Linked DNA regions of Bombyx mori. The protein of the gene in region 1 purifies or fractionates together with the protein of each later gene. This does not show direct contact. Links are inferred from orthologs where the notes say so. Each region holds a gene or a part of one and is shown in the gene's direction. Other genes may lie near its edges.

Evidence for each region.
Region 2: the proteins of E3 ubiquitin-protein ligase RFWD3 (region 1) and chaperonin containing t-complex polypeptide 1 beta subunit purify together in Homo sapiens (co-immunoprecipitation; 3 studies listed by BioGRID and IntAct, with this or other methods). This does not show direct contact. The link is inferred for Bombyx mori from reciprocal best matches to the Homo sapiens genes RFWD3 and CCT2.

Annotation. Positions count from the first base shown.
Region 1 is NC_085117.1:95,934-107,389, reverse strand, and holds E3 ubiquitin-protein ligase RFWD3, read left to right. Parts: upstream 1-3,846; 5' UTR 3,847-4,212; intron 4,213-6,000; 5' UTR 6,001-6,021; coding exon 6,022-7,851; 3' UTR 7,852-8,167; downstream 8,168-11,456. Other genes in the region: BTB/POZ domain-containing protein 7, read right to left, coding at 952-972; thioredoxin domain-containing protein 9, read left to right, coding at 10,542-10,615, 11,355-11,454. UniProt on the Homo sapiens protein: E3 ubiquitin-protein ligase required for the repair of DNA interstrand cross-links (ICL) in response to DNA damage. Plays a key role in RPA-mediated DNA damage signaling and repair.
Region 2 is NC_085119.1:8,626,625-8,638,090, reverse strand, and holds the start of chaperonin containing t-complex polypeptide 1 beta subunit, read left to right. Parts: upstream 1-5,293; 5' UTR 5,294-5,387; coding exon 5,388-5,390; intron 5,391-5,551; coding exon 5,552-5,725; intron 5,726-5,809; coding exon 5,810-5,945; intron 5,946-6,327; coding exon 6,328-6,547; intron 6,548-7,425; coding exon 7,426-7,564; intron 7,565-7,695; coding exon 7,696-7,904; intron 7,905-8,753; coding exon 8,754-8,928; intron 8,929-9,381; coding exon 9,382-9,559; intron 9,560-10,228; coding exon 10,229-10,432; intron 10,433-11,466. Other genes in the region: synaptobrevin-1, read right to left, coding at 3,976-4,338. UniProt on the Homo sapiens protein: Component of the chaperonin-containing T-complex (TRiC), a molecular chaperone complex that assists the folding of actin, tubulin and other proteins upon ATP hydrolysis.

The DNA of each region.
Region 1 (11,456 bases):
GTGTTTCTTACTAAGCAGCATTTGACAATGGACATATTGGACTAATATGATAAAAGGCAATCTTCATGGATTTTCACTAGTTGTAGAAATAATCAAAATAACTTTTATAAACCATAAGATTACATATTATTTAAATATCAATTTCATTTTATCCAATGGCTCAAATATTTCACTTTTTATGATCATGGAATATTAAGGAGTGTTATCTCAACCTATGGTTCATATTATGCTAACTAAGCTAAGCATCTTCATTACACAATATGGTATTCAGGAAATAATAGTACAAATTATGTATTAAACATCTCCACAATGTGCCCCACAAGTGTCTTGACGTGAGATTTATTGGCAACAAAAATATACAAAGTGGATCTATTTGCCCAGAGAAGAAGTAGCAGTTCTAAGTGGTCTAGATTTGACTCTTCTATTCATTTGACTTCAAATTAAACTCTTAGTTTCAAATACATATTTACCAACTGCAATGGAAATGCATCAGCATACTTTGCTGTAATGACATCAAGCATCTGAGAAATGGTACCATAAGCAAATATCAATGATCAATGTGGCCATTGTGATATCCTACACTTCCAGTCAAATATATGTATCATGTACATAATTAATCCCAAGACAAACAATTTGTTAGAATGCAAAAGAAGACTCAGCCTCCATCAAAAATAGTCTCTCAGACAAATAGGATTTGCATGGTAAGTGGTAGTTATGGTAAGGCTGTTCGTAACCTCATAGAAAAGATCTTAAGGTCAAACTCTATTGAAGGTCTGCTGTATGTCAAGCAAGACCAAAGAGCAGTATTCATTATTTACCAGTAACTTACTGATTCTATCCACCACTTTATGAATTTTTTAAGTTGGTTTGTATAGGTAAAAATTGGTGTAACAACTGCTTTTCGAAAATCTCAGAAAACTAGCAGTAGGCTAATAAGTCTATGGAAATTACTTCATTGGTTGGTTTTCCCATTTTGTGTACCATTAAAATTATTACTTTCCAAATGTCAGGATAATATTGAAGTCTTAGAATACAAGAACACTGAACCCTCTGCCTAAAGTGCCTAAAGTAACATGGACATCTAAGTATGACTGTTTCAATCAATACTTTAGTTTACTAGTTAGACCCCTACAGTAACAATTTACATAGATAACAATATTTAAATAAACTACCCATAAGTACTATGTAAGAAACCCCACTATGTAAGAAAATATAATAATTATTAGATCTTTAATTACCATATTTTTTATTATTGGATTTTTGTTGAACAATAATATTGTGATCAGCTGACTGTCAAGTGTTTTGATAGAAGCAAATGCGTACAAAAGGATACACTCAGAATTAGATCTGATAGAAGATTGCAAATATGACAAAACAGTGTTCTGTGCCAAGGACAAAAATGTCTAAATTACTTACATTTCTTATAGTTCTTAGAATATTCATTTATAAAAACAAGATTTTATCTATGTAGGGCACTGATAATTGGGCCTTTTTAAGACTTCAAATACAACCAGATCTAACAGTGATTGAGGCCATAAGCCTAATGAATGAGAACACATCATATGTAGTTAAGATATGCTCATAGATGAGAGCAACTTGGAATAAAAAATCAAATAATAAAAAATATGGTACCGTCAGTGAATATCCACAAAAATCTTTTAAGTACTGAAATAGAAATTAAACAATAAAAAAGAGGTTGGATATATGACTCTGATCCAGAACTACTACCAGTGATTATAACTTCAGCCCATGGACTGGATAACTATTTCTCTTGGATTTCCTTGTTGCTGTGACATACTGTATCATAGAACTGAATTTGATTCTGAGGCAAAATCAGTATCATTATTCAAAATAAATGTGTGTCCAGTACAAAGAAGACAAACTTTGATTTTTTTTAGTTTCTTTATCATGATTACTGTTTGTGATTATATTATGCAATTTTATTCTCTTCTCCATTCTTTGTCACTGATTTATTAACTACTCGACATTGGCAGGGGTGTGCTTTGAAGAAGAAACAGAAGCTTTAATAAGAATAGCGGTTTGGGGACAATCAATGTCAGTTTTTTCTTGTCCATTTTCCTAATATGCTATATACTATCTATATATCTTTAGTATTAAGAAACATTTCTGTATGCAATGGACCTTTAAAATACAATCAACATTACTTTTATAGCTTTGTTTATTCTAAAACATATTTGTTTTTTCATACAATGCACACAAATTATTTAACTGTTTTCAGTGACATTTAATGTTTAATGGGTATGATTTAACTTAAAAAGTGATTGTTTTGTGATGGGAATCAAAAGGCAACAATAAAATTAATTCTAAAGTTTTCATTACAGTGAAATTTTATTTTATGTTGTTCCGGATCCTGCACCAGCAAACATATAAGCTCTTGTTCCAAATTCAGTCAAACATATTTTGCTAGAATGAAATGTTGTTTGTATGTTGTTTGTTTGTTTGTAGTTTGTATGAAAATTATTGAATTTAAATGCTGTTTGTGGGCATCAGTTCTTTTGTTTTTCAGTATACGTTTTAATTTATTTTAGGGGTGCGCCAAAAGGTGGATTTCTGACGTCAGTGCGCGCGCATCTGACCTAAACTCTATCTGACCTACATTTGGAACTTGCAACATCGTATTGACATCGTTATGTGGACATTTTTGCATTTATTAGCTAATGCGAAATGAGAGCAATAGAGAAGGACTGTGTAAAAGAGCACAAGTTCAGTACAACACCATATTCAAGCATTTAATTTATTCCATCGCGGATTTCAGTGCTTTAAGCTCACTCACTGCAAAAAAATTGAGTAATATCGATCACTCTAATTTTTGAGTAATTTTAATATAAATAAAATCACTAACCGCTGTACAAGTACATTACAATATTGCATGAATATGTGGAAACACGATTATTTTCTTCATATAAACACTACCGAACATCCCCATTCGGTCGCCATGATATCAACAAATGATCAACTTGTAAATTTAAATTTCACTTCACTAGAGATATTCATCACTGTTATTTATGTTAAATAATGGTAAACTAATAACATTGAGTATATTATTACATAAATAAGTCACGAATACAAGCTCGATTCGTTTTAAATTGTATAAAAATACGGAATGAGCAAGGCCCGTTATCCTCCTCCTTTATCAGATTTGACACTAAATTTAGTACTGCCGGCTTTAAAATTGGAATCTGCGTGCTGGCCTAATTGTTGCCGAAACAAAGTGTATTTTTAAATAAAAACATCGGTAGGTACTACAAGTATATTGAGTAGTTGTCAATAAATTAATAAAATTTATCAACTGTCGCCGCGTCGGTAGCGTTAGGGAATTGAATAATCTTAAAAGGTAGTCCTGTAATATTACTGGGAACCAGTCTTTCAGTACGGTTTAGAGTTATAAGACAACTATTAGATTTAAAATACATTTAATACTGAACTGTTATGATGTCTGATGAGGACTAGTTAACAGTTCTTTTTGAGAAGGCCATGAAGTCAGCTGAACAGGGACTTTTTATTTTCCGAAGTGTGGTATTAGATAATAAAGGTTACAAAGTTTGTTCGTACCTGATTAGTGTATTTCCGAAGTGCGTTGGAAGAGATTCGCTCAGACGCTTTACATTATGCAAATTAGGTACCGTGATTGATACTGGTATTTCGTCTGTCTTTAGAAACCGCATTCCAGAGATAAAGAAACTTACAAGATCTGCAGTCTAATCAGGGCCTAGTACATTACAAATTTTCTTTTCATTAAAGGTGTAGGATCTGGAAGGACTACATAATTATAATGTGAGCCAAGTTTTGTGCATTGGCATTGGGATCCAAATTCCCAACTAATCTGTGGAAATATTTGTCTTTTGGTAACCCAAATAATTACTCTCAAATTGAAAATTTTGATGTTTTTGACGAAAAAGCGGTTTAATTTATAAAAATTGACAAGAAATAATACACAATAAACATTAAAACCAAGTAGTATTAGCACATGAATTAATGTACGTAAATAACGAAATTAATTTGTCTACTAAATGTTACAAAATCTAATCATAACGAAATAAAAGTTAAAACAAATGGCCATCAAATAAATGTAAACAATACCTACGTAAAATTTTACAAACAAAAAATTGTTTCCGCTTAACAAGAAACGTTTTTTCATTGATACATTTTACGGATATTAGTGATTGTTGCAGCTATTGACCTGTGCAAAGGGTGAGTAGGAATTTAATTAAATATGTAAAAGTCCTCAGTACATAACCCGACTAGGTTTTTTTATGTTCTATACTAATTATAATAACGTTTTCTAAGAAATTGATAAATTAGTACTGTCGAGCATCCCCAAACCTCAGACCACATGATTGAGAAGTGGTTCAGTGTTAGAAGATGCGATCGAAGCTCATTGGTATGAAAACTCGCATGCCTCCTCCTATCTTGAGACAAATTTGATAGCTGACAGAAACAGTGGGGTAGTGGGCTGAAATTGGATCGACTACAAACCCAAACCAACTGGCATACCTAAATCTAACCTGAAGGACTCCTTGTGAAACGATGATGTTACATTTCAGTAATAATTTATCTGTCTCAATAGTCTCAATGATAAAATTTGTGTCAAATTGATCACAAAGATCTAAGGTTGACAATGTTAATTTAGTAAAATGAATGGTAAAAATCAAACCATCAGGCTATCTTATGTGTGTGATTTAAGTTTTATAGGTAGGGTATTTTTGCAAATTCAATGTACATCATAATTATTGAATGTTCACAATACAGTATGCTTATGTTAAGAATAAAACGGTGTCTGTTTGACATTGTACATAATATGGTAACAGCCCTAAAACAATCTGCAATCCCAATTGGTGGTAACCTTAGGACTATGCTCAGCAATCATGCGTTACAATTTGTTGAGTTGTTGGATTGACACAGCTGTGACTCTTAGATGTCCAGCTGGACAACAGTGTGCTATGAGCAGCTATGAAAGCTAGCTAAGACATAATATCATGCAATTGTTGAGGACTCTGTAATGTCATCTGGCTGTGACTATTGTGCTAGAGATACTCAAGTGTGACCACCATTCTTCAAATAAGTATTTATCTTTAGTGAGAAATTTGTGGGTAAAGAGCTCCAAAGATGCAGGTGTGTGGATGAGCTCGCAGCCCACCTAATGTTAAATGGTTATCAGAGCCTGCAATTTTATTATACATAATTATAAGATGGAACAACAGCTGGTATGAGGCCAACTTTCATTTCATTGCAAACAACCGCTAAACAGTTGTGTACCCAGGTCTGATACATGAGGCTGTTGATAACTAAGACTTTAAGCTGATGTCTCAAGGTGAGGGGTGGCATGCATGTTATGATGTATGGGTTTCATGGTGAGGTTTCATGGTGAGGTGGCGGTGTATCGCGTTCCGACCTGGCAGGCTGGTTCTGGCTCAGCGGGGTATCCCGGAACACCAGCGTCATCGCCCGGGCGGCTCGGTAGGGCCGCCGTACCGCGGAGACCGAAGTCGTTGGTCGTCGACTATCGCCTCGACGACCCGTCGGTCGAGCGTCCTCAGGGTGGCGCCGCGTGTCTGGTTGTAGTGTTGACTGCAGGAACCCCTCTACTCTGACCGGGTATTGACCCCGAACGGAGATCGGACGTCGGGTGTAAGAGTGCAGGGGAGTCGTTTAGTGGGTGTGCCCTAAAATTCCTTGGGCCCGCTGTCTGCTTCCAACACCTTGCAGATCGTTGAGTCCCACATAGCCCGCGCGCCCCATAGGCGCGGGGACCTCGTAAGAGGTTCGGGCCTCGGCCCGAAAAAAAAAAAGTCTGAGGTAAAGGATTTGTTAAATTAAATTAATTGGAAATTCAAATTTTAGATAATTATTATTTTGCGTTGTTTGTTGAGCCATCAGCAATTCTACCACTCGTCTTCGTTTCCAGGAACATTACCAACACACCTTCTATGTAATCAAGAAAAGGATGACTTAGACCAAAAACATTTTCTCTGTTCCCAGGTAACCCAATGACTACGAAAAATGAGCCAGTATCCCACCGCACAGAGCCAGGGCACAGAGTCACCGGGGAGTCCAAATATATTCGAAGAACCGGAGCAAAGCTTCGCAGCAGCAGAGAATGACAACCACATAGATCTGCCGTCGACTAGTCGAAGCCATGATCACGATCCCTCCGAGGGTCCGTTAGATGTGCCCAGCGATGAGCCCATACAAATAGACTTGGCCGGTCCCTTGAGGTACGACAACGATGACAGCAACGACACGGTGCTGAACATCATCATTAACGGACCAGGACACCTCCCGGCTCAGAGCGAGGACAGCAACCTCACTTCACCTCTCACCTCATTCAGCGATGAGAGCACGAGACAATCTATAAATGAAGATTCGAATAGTTGCGCTTCGATCAGATTGAACCCCAGGCCCCCTGATGACATCGAACCCCCAGCCAAACTCAGGAAGATGAACGAAGTCGAAGAGGTCGACGGCGAAACCTGCCCGATTTGCTTGGACTCGTGGGGTAACTCCGGTGACCACAGGCTAGTAGCACTGCGCTGCGGTCACCTTTTCGGTTCAGAGTGTGTGGAGCGCTGGCTGAAGGCTCAGAAACTAAAAGACAGAACGTGCCCGACCTGCAAGGGGAAGGCCAACTTGAAGGACCTGAGGTTCATATACGCGAGGCGCTTGGTAGCGGCGGACACTTCGCAAATTACGGCTCTACAAAAACAAGTTGAGATTCTTCAATCAGAGAAGAGCAGAACCGAACTGGAATTAGAAAAGATGAAGATAGCACATCGCGCTTGCGTGCAACAGCTCGAGGGCCTACGGAGCACCCTAATGAAGTCTCAATCTAACAAGGAGCAGCCTTCCAGGAAGTCCTGGAGGTTCGCCTTGGAGAAGAACCTTGAAATATGCAAGGACGGAGGCTGCAGAGTCCTGACCTACAACTGCCGGACCTACGAGTTGTATGTGTCCCAGAAGAGCGTCAACTATCTCTTCCCTGGATTCGGGATAAGGAAGATCAGCTGTGTCGACTACAAGCTGGGGCAGTTCGTCCATCTGCACCCGAAGCCGATCCGCGACATCACGTACTCCCAGCACCGGGACCTGCTGCTGAGCGTGGCCCTGGACAGCACGGCGCGGATAGTCGAGCGCGGCATCCTCAGCGTGACGGTGAACTCGGGCATGCCGCTCTGGTCCTGCTCTTGGGACAACTTGCGCAGCAACGAGTTCTACGTAGGCGGCGTCGGAGGCGTGATCCACCACTATGACGTCAGAAACCCTAGCACCTACTTACGGATGCTGAGCTCTCCGGGGGACCTGTCACCAGTTGTGTCTTTGTGTTCCACAGAATATGGTCTCTTGTCGTGCCAGTTGAACTCATCGAAGCTGTGGGCGGTGAACACAAGGCAGTGTGAGCCGAGGGTCTTGCCCGTGGAAGGATCGTTCATGTCTCTGGCCTATGATAACGCGTCCCAACGCGCCGTCATAGCGTCCAGACCGAGTTCGAATGGTCTAGAAAGATCTAAGTTGAGCGTCTGTAAATTGAAACCGAGCATACCGAACGGCGAAGTTATTTGTGACGTGGTAGAAACATTCTCGGGGTCGCTCAGGTCCTCGTTGATGTCCAAAGTGGCCTGGGTGAGGTTAGCGAGCTCTGCGTGGGTCGCCGCTCATTCTGAAAGCGATTCAGCGCTTTATTTGCACGGCGTCGACGGCACGCGGACCATGTCCCTGCCCGCGTCGGAGCCCGCGCTGGACGTGTGCTCGGTCGAGACGAACGGAAGCAATATACTGGCGGCTCTGTCAGAGTCCCGACTCAGGCTGTACAAGGCGGTCCCCACCAATACGTGACACGATTACACCATTCCATATTAATGTAACTTTTATATTGCTTGACGACGTTGTAGCGTTCAAATTGTCTTGACAGCTGTCATTTTTGACAAGAGTCATGAAAAATTAAATTGAGTGCTTGTTGTCTCTTTTGCTCCCGAAGCTGTGACTTCAGCATGCAGCGTCTATGGTCACTTGCTTATAACAACGCGCTAAGTACTTTGATTTGTATAAATATAATAATTCTTAAATGATATTTTAGACTTTGTAATATAATTTATATTTAAAATGTTTTGTAAATATTAATTGTGTTGAGAAAGTAAAATTTAAACCTTGATACTGTGTTATGTTTCTCTTTGTACACCCATATTATAGAGCTGAAGTTCTTACCCACAGAGCCTCAAGTTTGAACGTGGTGCATGGTGCATGAGGCAGGTGGTTTCAGAAAACTGAGTTATGGTATGTTTACCAAAATCAAAGACGCGATTGTTTAAAATGTCAAGAAAACTAATTAGATGAAAGAATTATATTAATATTAAGTGTATTAACCACGATATTAATTATAGAATTTTGCTATATTAATGGTATTCAATTTGAATACTCTTAACAAGGTAAATAGCTAGTTAATTTTTGTCTTTGACAATAAATAATGCTTTATATATTCAAATAGTAAATATGGAACATTCTTTCTTAAGATTAGGCTTTAAAAGAAAGGATCTTCGCACCAGGTCGATCGGCAGTTCATGTACTGGTATCCAGTAAAATAGATAGGCATTTTGTGAAAAATTCACCAGTCAATCTCCTTCGGATCCTTCCGACCTGCAGATCAGACCCGATACAGGCTTCGCCCAATTTAGATTTTTACTTAGGATAGCATACTGCATTAACTGTGGGAACCAGACTTTTTTTTGCTAAATATCTTCTTGGCTTGGCCTTTGTAGTCATAAGCCTTTTCTGGACTTTGATTTCACTGTCAAAATCAATATTGTCAACTGTCGATTGAAACTTGTCAAAACTCAAAACTGAAAATAAACAGTAGGTCCACTTTTGTTTCTAAGTTTCCAATACGAAAGTCTGTTTTTTTGAAAAGAAATTCTTAAATTTACCACATTAAAGACGTTAATTAAGTAACATTTTTATAAAACTCATTATTTGAACCAGTACAAATCATCGTAAAAACGTAAGTAACAGTATTATTTGTGAGAAATGTACCGTGTGCGCGAATGAGGTCACCACCATTGATTAGGTTTTAAAAAAAGTAAAATGATTTTTTTTATTTTCGGTTTTCATTCAAAAATTCCTTTCTTTTGCGTCATACCAGAGTTTCATTCTATATACCTTTTTTCTCAGCGGTTCTAAGCCCCTGATGCGGCCGGTCTACGTCCGTGCCGGGCCCACGGCCCACGCGTGGTCACGTCTCTTTTAGATAATTAAACCAGTTTGCTCACCATAGCAGCTTAATATTAAATTCTGTAGTGCGCATTTACTCTCGTATCTAAATTATAATTTCTAAAGATTAATAAGCAACGGTAACCGCTTACATCCCATCTCTCTGGTGCTAATTACTAAAACTATTGGTCTATATTTACTCCAACTGATTGTCTGAAGGGAAGCACCATCCACAATATGGTTAGGTAAGCAACTTGGCCATGTTAACTGCTTACTCTCTCTAGTAAGAGTGCTAGAAAATAATTGTAAAACAATCTCTACAATAATGTAGATACCTGACTGTAATTGTGTGGCACTTAAACATAAATTTGACAATATAAGAAGGTTTAGAGTTTATAATATTGAAATGTTTAAAATAACGTAAACAACGATATCCACATGGTCTTAAAATTAATTTTAATTTTATCAATACCTCGCTAAAACCTAACAAAATACAATGATTAGTTGTAAAACTGAGAGTAAAGGGAATGAGTGCTCATAAATAGCAGCACTACGCCAAAAAATTATTAAAATATCAATTCAAAATCGTTTTTTTTTTGGTAATGTTTTCTTTGCACACAACAAATGAAGAATGAAAGTATTTCAGATATGTTGTACGTTATTGTGGATGTTTGAAAAATTTTGGGGTAGTTTTTGCACTGGTAAAATTGACAGTGATTGTATTAATGTAGTTATTGAAAAATTAAGAAAATATTTAATAGGTCAGACTGTATATATTCTATAATAGTTTTATTACAAACTCTAAGTGACAGTCATTTATTTGTAGAAATAGAAACGCCATTTATGTTACGGAGCGTAACAAACAATTTTGGAATTGGGTGTAGTACACTTGGGTGTAGTAAGAGCAGACAAAAAATAAAACAATCAGTTCCTTTAAATTGAACACTCAGGAAAAATCATTCACGTCCTAGAGCCATAGGGTAGAGTGTGGCAACATTGAAGATGAAATTTAAAGAGCAAAGCGAAACAAAGTGTAACATTCTATGCCTTAAAGACTTTTTCACTACTACTAGGTATATAATTGATACTAGCGAGTACTGAATGATATTTTATGATATCGATTCTTAGAACTGTCAATACATGTGTCTTTGATTAAAACCGTTTCGTTATTATTGAACTTTAGCTCGTTTAAATATTTATCATTTTTGTTCTTTCACGGAATACTAAGTATAGGCAATGTGATTTTTTATCATAGTATATTAAATTGTGCCTACTAAATTTGTTTATATTTAAATGTTATAAGCTTTTTTTCAGTAATCACAATGGCGAACGTCGACCAGTTGCTGCAGCATGTTGCCCAGAATGTAGAGAGACAGATTGACAGTGAAATCGAAAGGTAAATAAAATGGTACTGTAAAAACTGAGATGTTAGAACATATAGCTCAAGGTAGGTGGCAGCATTTACGTTGTAGATGCCTATGGGCTTTGGTAACCATTTAAGATAAGATGGGCCGAGAACTCGTCCACTCATCTAAGTAATAAATAAGAACAGATTATTAGTATTATTAAGAAGCATATTAATAATATATTTTACAAATCTTATCGCTAACTATTGCACGTGTTAATGACAAATGACAATAAATTTAATTACCGACTAGAATATATCACTAACAAAAGCTAAATACGGGATTATTGAACAATTTAGACGAAAATAATGTTATTTAATTGAGTTGATAGTTGAGTGATGCGACCCCGTGATATCGCGGGAGCCCGGCCATACTACCTGGCCTACCTGGGAGGTACTCTGGGAGCGACAGCTGGTCCAGGATGTAGCAGGTCTCCAGAGGGCTTTTATTTTTATTTTTTATTGTTTTGATGGGTGGACGAGCTCACAGCCCACCTGGTGTTTAGTGGTTACTGGAGCCCATGGACATCTACAACGTAAATGCCGCCACCCACCTTGATATATAAGTTCTAAGGTCTCAGTATAGTTACAACGGCTGCCCCACCCTTCAAACCGAAACGCATTACTGCTTCACGGCAGAAATAGGCGGGGTGGTGGTAACTACCCGTGCGGACTCACAAGAGGTTCTACCACCAGTAAATTCTTTTCTAAGTATCTCTACATATTACAGATTAGACGCTCTGGAAAGTGGGGATCTAGAGGCGATCAGACAACAACGCATAGCTGAAATGAAATTAAGAGCAAAGCAGAAACAAGAGTGGTTGGCCATTGT
Region 2 (11,466 bases), on another chromosome or scaffold:
GCAAAAGGAGGTGGCTCAGCTATTGCTGTTCGAGGTTGATAAATCGAACAGCGCTGATTTTCAGTCACCCCCGTTTCCCCCTGGTTCTTTGCGGGATTGAAGGCTAATTACGTGTGTACATACTTAGAATATGGTATAAATTAGTAAAACTAGTAAATAATAAAAAATTTAAGAAAAAAAACAAAACAAAAATCAAATTAAATTGTGAACCCGAATACAAAAGATAATAAGCACACAGTAACAACACCCCGTAGGCAGCCCACAACGAAACAACAAATAAAATAAAATAAAATAAAGCACGATAATACTATTACTAATACTGGCAAGCAGCACAACATTTACACGTGTACATTAAAAATAAATAAAAATAACTTTAATAAAAGGAAGTTTTCACAAGCAAGAATTAAACCAGTTACTATGAATACTATAAATTAAATTAGTTTTTGTGAATCCAAAAGAAATGTTTTTAAACGATTAATAAAGCCATGCTTTGTTACAATGTGACGAATAGGTGGTGGGAGATCGTTCCAGCAATGCGTAGCTGCGTATTTAAACGCTCCCCGAAAAGCAGCTGTTTTATATTTGGGCGTCAACAATGGCTTAACAGCAGCTCGTGAGCCATACCTGTACTGAGTGCTTCTCCAATCTAACTTCTCATACAAGTACCTAGGTTCATGTGTCGAAATCACTCCAAACAGTAAGACTGCTAAGTGCAACCTTCTTCTAGCTGCCATTTTCAATATATTGTGATCATTTAAATAGGGCGTTATGTGTCCTCTCACAGGAATGTCAAAGCAATACCTGGCACAGGCATTTTGAATGCGTTGTATTAATTTTTCAGTTCTCGAGAGTAAACAGGGACCATAAACAGTATCACAGTAATTTAATTTCGACAAAACTAGACTATCGATAAGCAACTTCCTAATGGGTACACTGACGTACTGTCTAAACGAGTACAGAATCTTCAGTCTGTAAAAACAAGTTCTTAAATTCTTTGTAATATGGGCCTCGAATCGCAATTCGGGATCAAATGTCAAACCCAAACTGCATGCTAACTCCACCCGATCAATTTCCTTACCCGAAACAGTCACCTTAGGATCGAGTCATCCTACCATGCTACCCCGCTTAAAACATACAAAAATAATAATTAAAAACTATTTTATAGGATCTCAAGAAAGTCGATGCCCCAAAACTATTATCTATATATATTTAAATTCATTATGGAGCCCTCATCCGAAAAATCGGACCCCGTTTTTCGGTCGGAATCTATTGATCTTGACACTAATCATAAATACCTCTTTAAAATATGTCATCAAAACATATTTATACATTCTGTTTAGATATTTCGGGAAAAAGGCTACCGACAAAATCTCTTCGGAACTATTTAAATAAAATAGTTTTATTCCGCAGTGAGCAAAACACTATTGTAAATTCGTTAAATATTTAGTAATTAAGTGATTTTAAAGAGGAAGTCACAAGGAATGACGTTTGTAATTAATGAATAAATGTTCTGTAGGTGTTTTTTTTTTATCACGTGGTCCCTTGATAAGCTTAAAATTTTAATCACTCTCAAGTGAGAGTGATTCAAATGGTGCGGCGCACCTTCCTTGAGGTGCGCTGCGGTAGTGTGTTACGGACTTTAGTTCAGCAACAGAATTAAAATAGATTGTAATAGTCTAAGAAAAACACGTACTCAAAATACCATAACATTTAGCATGCTAGAAATGGACAGATGGCACTGCACTACGCCATATCTTTATGTTTTGCGGCAAACGACAACTATATAAAATCAGTGTAACAAATTTTAAAAATCATCATATCGTTTACTTGGCAAATTTGAAGTCGTCTTAGATTTCACATATTATCTAAATCACCTCATCTTTGCACATAACAATATACTTACTTCCTATTAAAGTATAAATTCTACAAATAATTCATACTCAACAATATTTAAAATAAAATGAGCAAAGAACGTTTATCGATAAAAGCTACTAACATTAAAATCTTCTGGGCAGCACTAAAACCGCCATGTTTTGTGGCCAGATGACGTCACAGTGGCACGAATTTTTTGTTGACGTTTCATTTCCATAGGTTTCATACTTCAGTGTCAGTGAGTTCGAATAATCCCCTAGGCTACCAACAAATAGGTAGGGGGAAACAAGATCAAGATTTTTTTAGACTTCAATGTGTCATTCTCTTATCTCGATTCTCAAGGCACATGATCTCGTGTTGCATGTGATCATTGTTTGCCTAAATATATTATATTATTTTGTATGAATTTTCTAACATACTGCTTACTTGTAGATCAATTAATCATAACATTTATATGGACATCCATGCAGGACTAAAAATATGAGTGTGTTAAAAGTAGCACTATACAGAATTTCAAACTATGTGACTAGTTTATTTCTGGTAGTTACCATCCATTATTCTGTTAAACAATGAAAATTAACTCTCATTATTTTAATACCATACATTACATATCTTGATTGAAATGTATGAATAAAATATATCTAGATGTTTCTTTAATCAATATTGAATTAAGAAGTGCAATGAACTAGTTGTTTCAATCTGACAGCAATGTGTGCCAAATGTGATTGTTCTGTAAAACAGAAATAATAAAGCAATTGAAGAATACACATTTTATTACATCTATACAATACAAAATAACTAGGATAAGTGTTACACATATATTGATTTAGTATAATACAACATTAACATTTTTCACTGTCATACAATGATAATGGACTTCACTATAATTAACAAACTGATTCATCAGTTGCTTTGAGAAGCTTCCAGACTTTTATTAACATTAAAATTCAAATATGGCTTAGAGACGATTGATAATATATCATTAACCCCGTTAATTGGTCCCAACAAGAGTTACTGTTAGTAGATTACATGGTTATACCAAAGTTTGTGATTGGATAATGTGCAACATAATGAATGTGCAATTTCTTAAAAAGTAGCATAGCAATAATTCAATAAATGTTAAAAGTATACATCTTTATCTTTATCCTTCGAGCACCTGTGTTCTGTGTTATTTAAACCTCTCAGAATTTATTGTGCAACATTGTTCTATGTTAATATTTTTTTGTAAATTTTTATTATAGACAAATGGGACAATTTGCCTATATATTTTATTCCTGAACTTACAAAATGGGACAAAACCTTCTCAACATCAAATATTGATATCATTTATTTTTTGAACAACCACTTTACAGTTATTATAGTTCGTAAGTTTTATTTACCTCCATATTTCTAGGTGAAAATTTTGTATCTCAGTTAATTTGTAAAGAATTTACCATCACAAATTCACAACTTATTGGAACTGACAAGTCTACTAGTGAATTGTTCAGTGTGAAAAGTGCTTTTTATTTTGCTTTGGAGAGAAATATTTAATCGCTTCCGTGCCATATGAATCATGGTAGACACAGTCATATTTATTGCACTGAATATATATAACAAATGTAATTCTGTAAAATGTGATTCTTACATGAACATGTTTACTTAGTATGTTTTGTAAAAATATATCAATCTTTAGTCCAAATATCAAATGGAGTGAATGACAAGTCAGGCAAGGATACTTGGCACGGAATGTGTTAAAGTGAGTTTAAATAATCAATCTGTGTGATACATACACTCTACTCATAATTTATTACTACCTATCACAAGATATTTATAAAAATATTGTTGGCCACTGTTAAATATGAAAGCTAGCTATGAAGAGAAATCACAATTTTTCATAATAATAATCTTAATGTATTAACTTTTATAAAATTGTATAGTATTTTGTTTGGGACTTTTGTAAACAGTATAAATTTTTCAATATTTTTAAGGCTAAATGTAAAACTCATGTAGAAATATAGTGTGCGTCTATTACAAGTTTCCTTTGTCCAGTCGCGCTTGGTCGTTTCTGAACCCCAATCCCAGTCACAATAAATACTTTTTGGAATATATGTTTAAATTGGCTAACTATCGGCCAACATCTTTAGGCGCTTCAGTTACTGGAGGCGCGGCAGGGGATGACGAACCGGACGTTGCCCACACAATAATGATAATAAGCAACACTGCACCAATAGCACCTATAATTAACATCATCTTCAAATTCTGCCACCAATACTTGCGCTTAAGTTTTCCAGCTTGCTGTTCAAACTGTGCAGCCCCATGTTGCAGCGCATCTGCGCGATTATCTAGTTCCGACAATTTTTGGTCTCTTTCCAAAACTTTCTCGACATTGACACGCATAATGCCAACAACTTCATCTACTTTGGCTTGTGTTTGTGCCAAGCGTTTGTCGCTTACTCTTGGTGCGGAACTTCCTCCTTGTTCTTCCATTTTTACTGTATATTATGAACTGTTTTTATTAAATTTCAATGTGAATGTAACTAGATTAATGCAGAATATTATTATTCGGTCACTGGTGACGGGCGTAGAATGTAAATATGGCGTCACCACAGACTAAATAGAAATATTAGGATTAGGGATGGCGGATGGCGCTCTAAGATTGATTGCTTAACCAAAATGAAACGATTTTTAATCGATAAATAGATTTCAAATAGTAAAATTTCGAGATTTTTGTATTTCATTTATAACGTTTCAAAGCTGGTAACTTGATGAAATTTAACGATTTGATGCAGTGGTATTCAACTTTATTTTAAGGCAGTGTATAAGGTATATACGGATGAACTTTAGTACGATTTTGTAACAAAAACCACAGCCATTTATTCAATTTTATTCGCCATCGTTGAAATATGTTTATAACCATCGCTCATGATCATCATCAACAGCACAACCAGGTCAAATAGTATTCAAAAAATGTAATGGAGGAGAGTTTATTCCAAAACTAAATTGTATGTAGCAAGAAATCTTTTTGAAAACGCAGTGGTTTTAGGTTCGGCTATGGCGACAGAAATGTGACGATAAAAAAAAAGAGATCATAAACAACGTTCAGCGATTTTATTGACTTCAATTCTCCCTGTCAAAGCTGCCCTAATTAATAAATTACTATGAACACACGTTTTAATCTGAGGAGACAATTCACTAATAAAATAAATGAATTCGCATAACTTCGGTCAATCAATTTGCATTTCCACCAAAGATTCATTCTTCGATTTCATTTGTAAAATCACTTCCATTTCAATATTCATACGAGGCTTTGATTTTTGTAATACAAGATTTCATTACATGAGTTTCGTTCCCTTTGCTTTTCCAATAGACAAGTTTAGCAAAAAACAGAGAGCAAATACATAGAGCATAGATAATACATGACATAGAGTATACATTATTAGTGATCAAAGTGGTCGTTCGGTCGTTCCCTTTTCTCTTTGTGCATTGTAGCCGATAAAAGCGTAAAGAAAAATAATTAATTAGGTCCTTCATCCAAAATGGTTAGTAAAATCTTTAATTTAATCTAACGTATCTTCATTGTTACTGATACTTATAAGTAAAAACGACGTATTCAGTGAAAACTAAGTGAAAATAGAACCCGATGCCGTATAACCTCACGCACGTGTACATGTAATTCTAAATTAAAATTAATTTAATACAGGTATCATTAAATCCAATTCGTATCCTTAAAAATGAAGCAGAAGAGGAGAAAGCTGAAGTTGCCCGGATGTCCAGTTTCATCGGTGCTATTGCCATAGGAGATTTGGTAAAGAGTACTTTAGGTCCCAAAGGAATGGATAAGATCTTAGTTTCCTGCGGGAGGAACTCTGGTCAGGTAAAATTAACTGTCTTTTTATTAAACATTAATAATGTATGCTGTGTTTTGAAATGTTTTATGCATAAAGAATTTTCGCTTCAGGTCGAAGTAACAAATGATGGTGCTACGATATTGAAATCTATCGGTGTGGATAATCCTGCTGCTAAAATCCTAGTAGATATGTCTAAGGTACAAGATGAAGAAGTCGGAGATGGCACCACATCTGTTACAGTTTTGGGTTAGTTTAAACTTTAGTGACAATAATGTTGTCTTTAATTTAATTTTTTTTTATTGCCCTTGTAAGCAGACGAGCATACGGCCCACCTGATGGTAAGTGGTTACCGTCGCCCATGGACTTCAGCAATGCCAGGGGCAGAGCTAAGCCACTGCCCACTGTTGAGTACTCTCCACAAGCCTCGTTTGAAAAAGAACAAGCAAGCAAGGCGCTAGGGAAACACCTCGGCCAACACATTGACTCTGTACATTGTTATAAATTTAAAAAAACTTACCAAATAGTTGAAATATGTTTGTAAATATACTATTTTTAACATATAATCAGATTTTTTTTTGTAATTCATGTAAACGCATCTCATAATGATAAAAGTTCTATTTAAATTCAGCTGCTGAATTACTTCGAGAGGCTGAAAAATTAATTGAACAAAAACTGCACCCTCAAACAATCATTGCTGGTTGGAGAATTGCTTCTGATGCAGCCAAACAAGCTCTTGCAGAAGCTAGCTTTGATCATCAGAAGAACTTAAATGAGGCTTCATTAAGAGTGGATTTAGAAAACATCGCACGGACCACACTGAGCTCAAAGATCCTTTCAAATCACAAAGAGTGAGTAGTGAAAACCAGTATACTGTGAAATTACATTGTTTTCAATACCAATTGAAAAATATCTTTATTTATTAGCTATATCTGTGACATACTAGTATATTAATTCCAATATTATTAGATATACATATATTTTAATTCATTAGGTCTTTTATTTTCCAAGACTTATTGCTGTATTGCTAATGTTACTATGTGTATTTTTTTTTTGTAGGGCAACTCAATTTTATCTACCAGTGTTTGCAATCAGGGTCTTCATTAGAATGTCTAAGTTCTGATTTTTTTAGAGTTGTGATCACCAAAGATTTAGAGGACAACTTTATATCAATGAGTTGAGCGTAAAAAGAGTATAAGTCATGAGAATCTGCTTTAAAAATAATGTAAATTTACCAGTAATGGCTGAATAATTATAACTTTTGGCTAAGAATCATAATTTCTTTTGTCATTTAGCTGTAGCTTAATAGCAGATATAAAAAAAACTGTAGTTTGTCTATGTGTCAGCTTATCTAGAAAATATTGGCATCAGATTATCTAAGCCCAAAAAGCAGAGGTTAATTAAAGTCATTTCTCATATTTTTTAACACAGAAACTGTACAAATGGGGTGAAATGTTTTATGAGATTTTTATTTATTTATTACACTTCATGTTAAATTTACATTGGCGGAATTAATGCCTAAGGCATTCTCTACCAGTCAACCAAAGGTAGTGCCGAGATTTATATTTTTTATCCAAATTACTAAAGCTTGAGGTATTTTTTTAATTAGCCTCAATAGTGCACTTAGTCTCAAGTGCTATCAGAGCCAATAGGCATTACGATATACATACAACATAGTTGCATAAATATTCAGGCCAAAGACAGTATAAACTGTATAATATTCTTTCAGGCATTTCACAAAATTAGCAGTTGATGCAGTTTTGCGTTTGAAAGGATCTGGTAATTTAAAAGCTATCCAAATTATCAAAATATCTGGAGGTCTTCTTGAAGAGTCATTCTTGGATGAAGGGTTCTTGCTAAACAAAAAAGTAAGTTTTAAAAAAACCTTTGAATGATTGAGTTTTAGTGCTCTTTAGTTTTTCTATTTGATCATTACATTAATAAAGAAAAACAGTACCTATAGATACAAAAATTTTAATGGGCATATTATTTCTTATAGGTTGGTGTACATCAACCAAAGAAAGTAGAAAATGCTAACATCCTTATTGCAAACACACCAATGGACACTGACAAGATTAAAGTGTTTGGTTCCACAATTAAAGTGGATTCAATGGCCAAGATTGCTGAATTGGAAGTAGCTGAGAAAGAGAAAATGAAGGACAAAGTGAACAAGATTTTAGCACACAAATGTAATGTCTTCATTAACAGGTGAGATTGTTTTGCTATAAAGATTTGTATAATTGCTCTATTTTTGGATACTCAGAAAATATTATTATAGATTACTTATTATTATACATTACTTATTCTTATACAAAACTGATTGCTGTTGCAAATATTGGTTCTTAATTATTATTTTTCAGTCAGTGAGTCATAAGTTGTTTTTATTTTGTATTTGCTTAGTTGGTCAAGTTAGCTCCGATCTGATGTTAACCAATTACAAGAGCTTATAGATTTCAAAATGTAAACAGAGGTGCCCAGATTGATATCTTACATCACTGTTTTTATTTTAAATTAGGCTGACCGAACCTAATTTAAGTAATTTATTATTTTTACTCAAGAGTAGAACATAGCATTAAACTTTTTTTTACAAACCTGATTATCTTTCTATTTATGTAGTGTATTAGTGAGGGTAATTGTTCTCCTTTTAATAAAGTAATTGCTAAGTGGGGGTTACATAAAGACACACAATGAATTGATTTGTTACCCAACACATGTGCTAATTCATTATTAAATAACAAATCATAATAATTTATTTCTTTCAAAAAAGATCTCGTGACCCAGAGTATATATTCCAACGTATTTAAATGTTTATTGACTAAACTATAACATGACTTTGCTTGTTTCTTCAATAGGTGAAGTCAAACTAACGACCCCAGCGCTTCGTTGATACATAATGTTAATGCAGATATGATTAAAACAATATTTAAGTAAAATAAAACAAATTAACTGCATAGCATCTGAAATAAGCATAAATATGCTTATATTAAATTAATCTCTTGAAATTTTTGTGTTTGGAAGCCTAAGAGGGTATCTTATTATGGTAATTTTAATTTTCAGACAACTTATATACAACTACCCAGAGCAGTTGTTTGCTGATGCTGGAGTAATGGCAATTGAGCATGCTGATTTCGAAGGTATCGAAAGGCTTGGCTTGGTCACTGGAGGGGAAATTGTGTCAACATTTGACTCACCAGACAAAGTGAAACTTGGTCACTGCAAATTGATCGAAGAGGTAAAATGACATATTTTAAATCATAAGAAAACCTCTTCTCAATAAGAGATTTGCTGTCAATGCAGAAAATTTGTCTTTTGATCTGTTGCTATACCGATGTTCCTCAAGCATGGTTTTTTAACTTTTTTATCAATCTTCTGGTGCATAACTTGCTTATCAATATCAATTGAAGCACATACTCAAAGTAGACATTTTAAATATCTACTAAAAAGTGCATTTGTGGTTTCACTGTTCTGTTTGAGTTTTTTTACAACCTATTCAAGTACATATCCCAATCTTTTAAGGATAAAGTTTTTTTGTTTGGTTCAATTGAGTTTTTGCTGTAGTAACTACTTAATTGGCAATGTTTGTGGTGTGATGTTGTTTTCTGTCACCCAAATATATCAAAAATAAATCATAATATTAGGTAGCTATTTATAAAGTAACATATTTATAATCGGTGACCACTCACAGGTTCTGATTGGTGATGAGAGCTTGATCCGCTTCTCTGGTGTAGCGTTGGGCTCGGCTTGCACGATCGTAATCCGTGGTGCCACGCAACAAGTTATCGACGAAGCTGAGCGTTCACTCCATGATGCGCTTTGCGTGCTTGCTGCTACTGTAAAAGAACCGAAGGTCATATGTGGAGGAGGTATGAATTACTTAATAAAAGACTAAAATAAAACTATGTTTAATATATTTTACTTTTGCATTTTACATGACATTTACACAAAATATATCGCACTTTTAGAATTATACAGACCCATTTTGAAATTTTTTATTTCGACTTTAATTAAAAAATTGACCTAGAACGACCCATCATCAGCTGCTCTTTTTAATCAAATGACCGAAAGTAGCTTATAAAGGGACAAACTTATCCATAGGTCTCTTTCACATCATCCTCCTCTTATGTCTATTCCGTTTGAAAACTTTATTCAACGTTTTACAAAAAACACATTTTTTGGGTTAGGTCTCTATAATTCTAAAGGTGCGATGTGTGATTAATTAAAACACAATAATGTGTACCTAGTGTGATGGTGGGATATGGTGAGGCGCATCAAATTTGCATCCTCCATTGCTATATGTCAAGAGTGTAACGACTAAGAAGACAGTATATAACTGTAATATTTGTTATAGCAAAATGATGCGTTAATCTCTTTTAGTTGGGATAAAGGGTGTCATAAATTTACAAATATATTTTTTTACAAAGACTCGCAGATGGACTGTCGCAGTCACTGATCAACTTCGACTGTCTGGACTGAACACCCTATTATCTATACTGGAAATAAAATCCATATGTCAAAGCATTTTTTGCATGTAGGGGCTGGTGAAATGCTAATGGCAGAAGCAGCTTCCCGCGCCGGCGCTCGCACAGCCGGGAAGGAAGCCGCAGCAGCCGAAGCCTTTGCAGTCGCGCTCCGGAGACTGCCGTCCGCTGTCGCCGACAATGCTGGCTACGACAGTGCTGATCTCATTGCTCGACTCAGAGCTCATCATTCTCGAGGAGAAAACACTATGGGATTAGGTACTCTAATTTCATATTGTACTAGCTGTACCCGTCCGCTTCACTGAGCACTTAAAATTATTATTATTATTATATATTTTTTAATGGCAATCTGCCGATACTTTCAGCAATTTCTGCCAGTGTCGTGTTATGGCTACACATGGAACATTGTCGAGCTATTTAAACACACTTTTTATTATGAAAAGTATCCAATTTTGGCAATAATAATGGTGCCTGGGACTAACACAAAATTAATGTTACTATAAACTTACATATTATAATAAAGATTATGTACAGAGAGTAATGCACTACATATCATTATAATTTTATAGAGTTAGTAGTTAAAAACTTAATAAAAGCACTTATAATACGGGGATCTGGGAACAGTGAGAGGTTGTGGCGGACATTTACCGGCCGTTGAATTTTCAGTTCGCTAATAACTTGGTCTCATATGAATGAGTTGTTCAAGCGACAATTGAGGAAAATGTGATCTATACTGCTGTCGTCCAAACCACATTCACACAACGAATTGTCACGTATTCTAATTTTATATAGAAATACCATTTAAAATTAACAGTATTATTTCTCACCCCCACAAAGATTCTCATCATTAACGCCCCCGCAACTGGTGTAGGGAGTCCAACACTCATATAAATATTAGCCTATCCATTAAGTACATGTATTTTCTACATGGATACCAAGTTTCAAGTCAATCGGATCCATGGTTCAGTAGTTATAACAGAACATCAGTAAAAACCACTACTATTAGTATAGATATTGATTCTAAAGCGATTATTAAAAAAAAAACAATAATTTTTATTCTTCAAAGGTTTTAAAGGTAATTCTACATATAGTATTGATGATCTAATTGTATTATCATACATTTTCATGTGCAGCAGGCTTTTGTGGGTCACAGCTATAGTTAAAACATCAATTATAACAAAAATACATATATTTTTAATATGGTCATCACAAGGAAAAGCTTACAAAACCAAGAGTTGTTCATTTCATTCCATATTATGTTATATCACATTCTGTGTTATATGGAATATTCT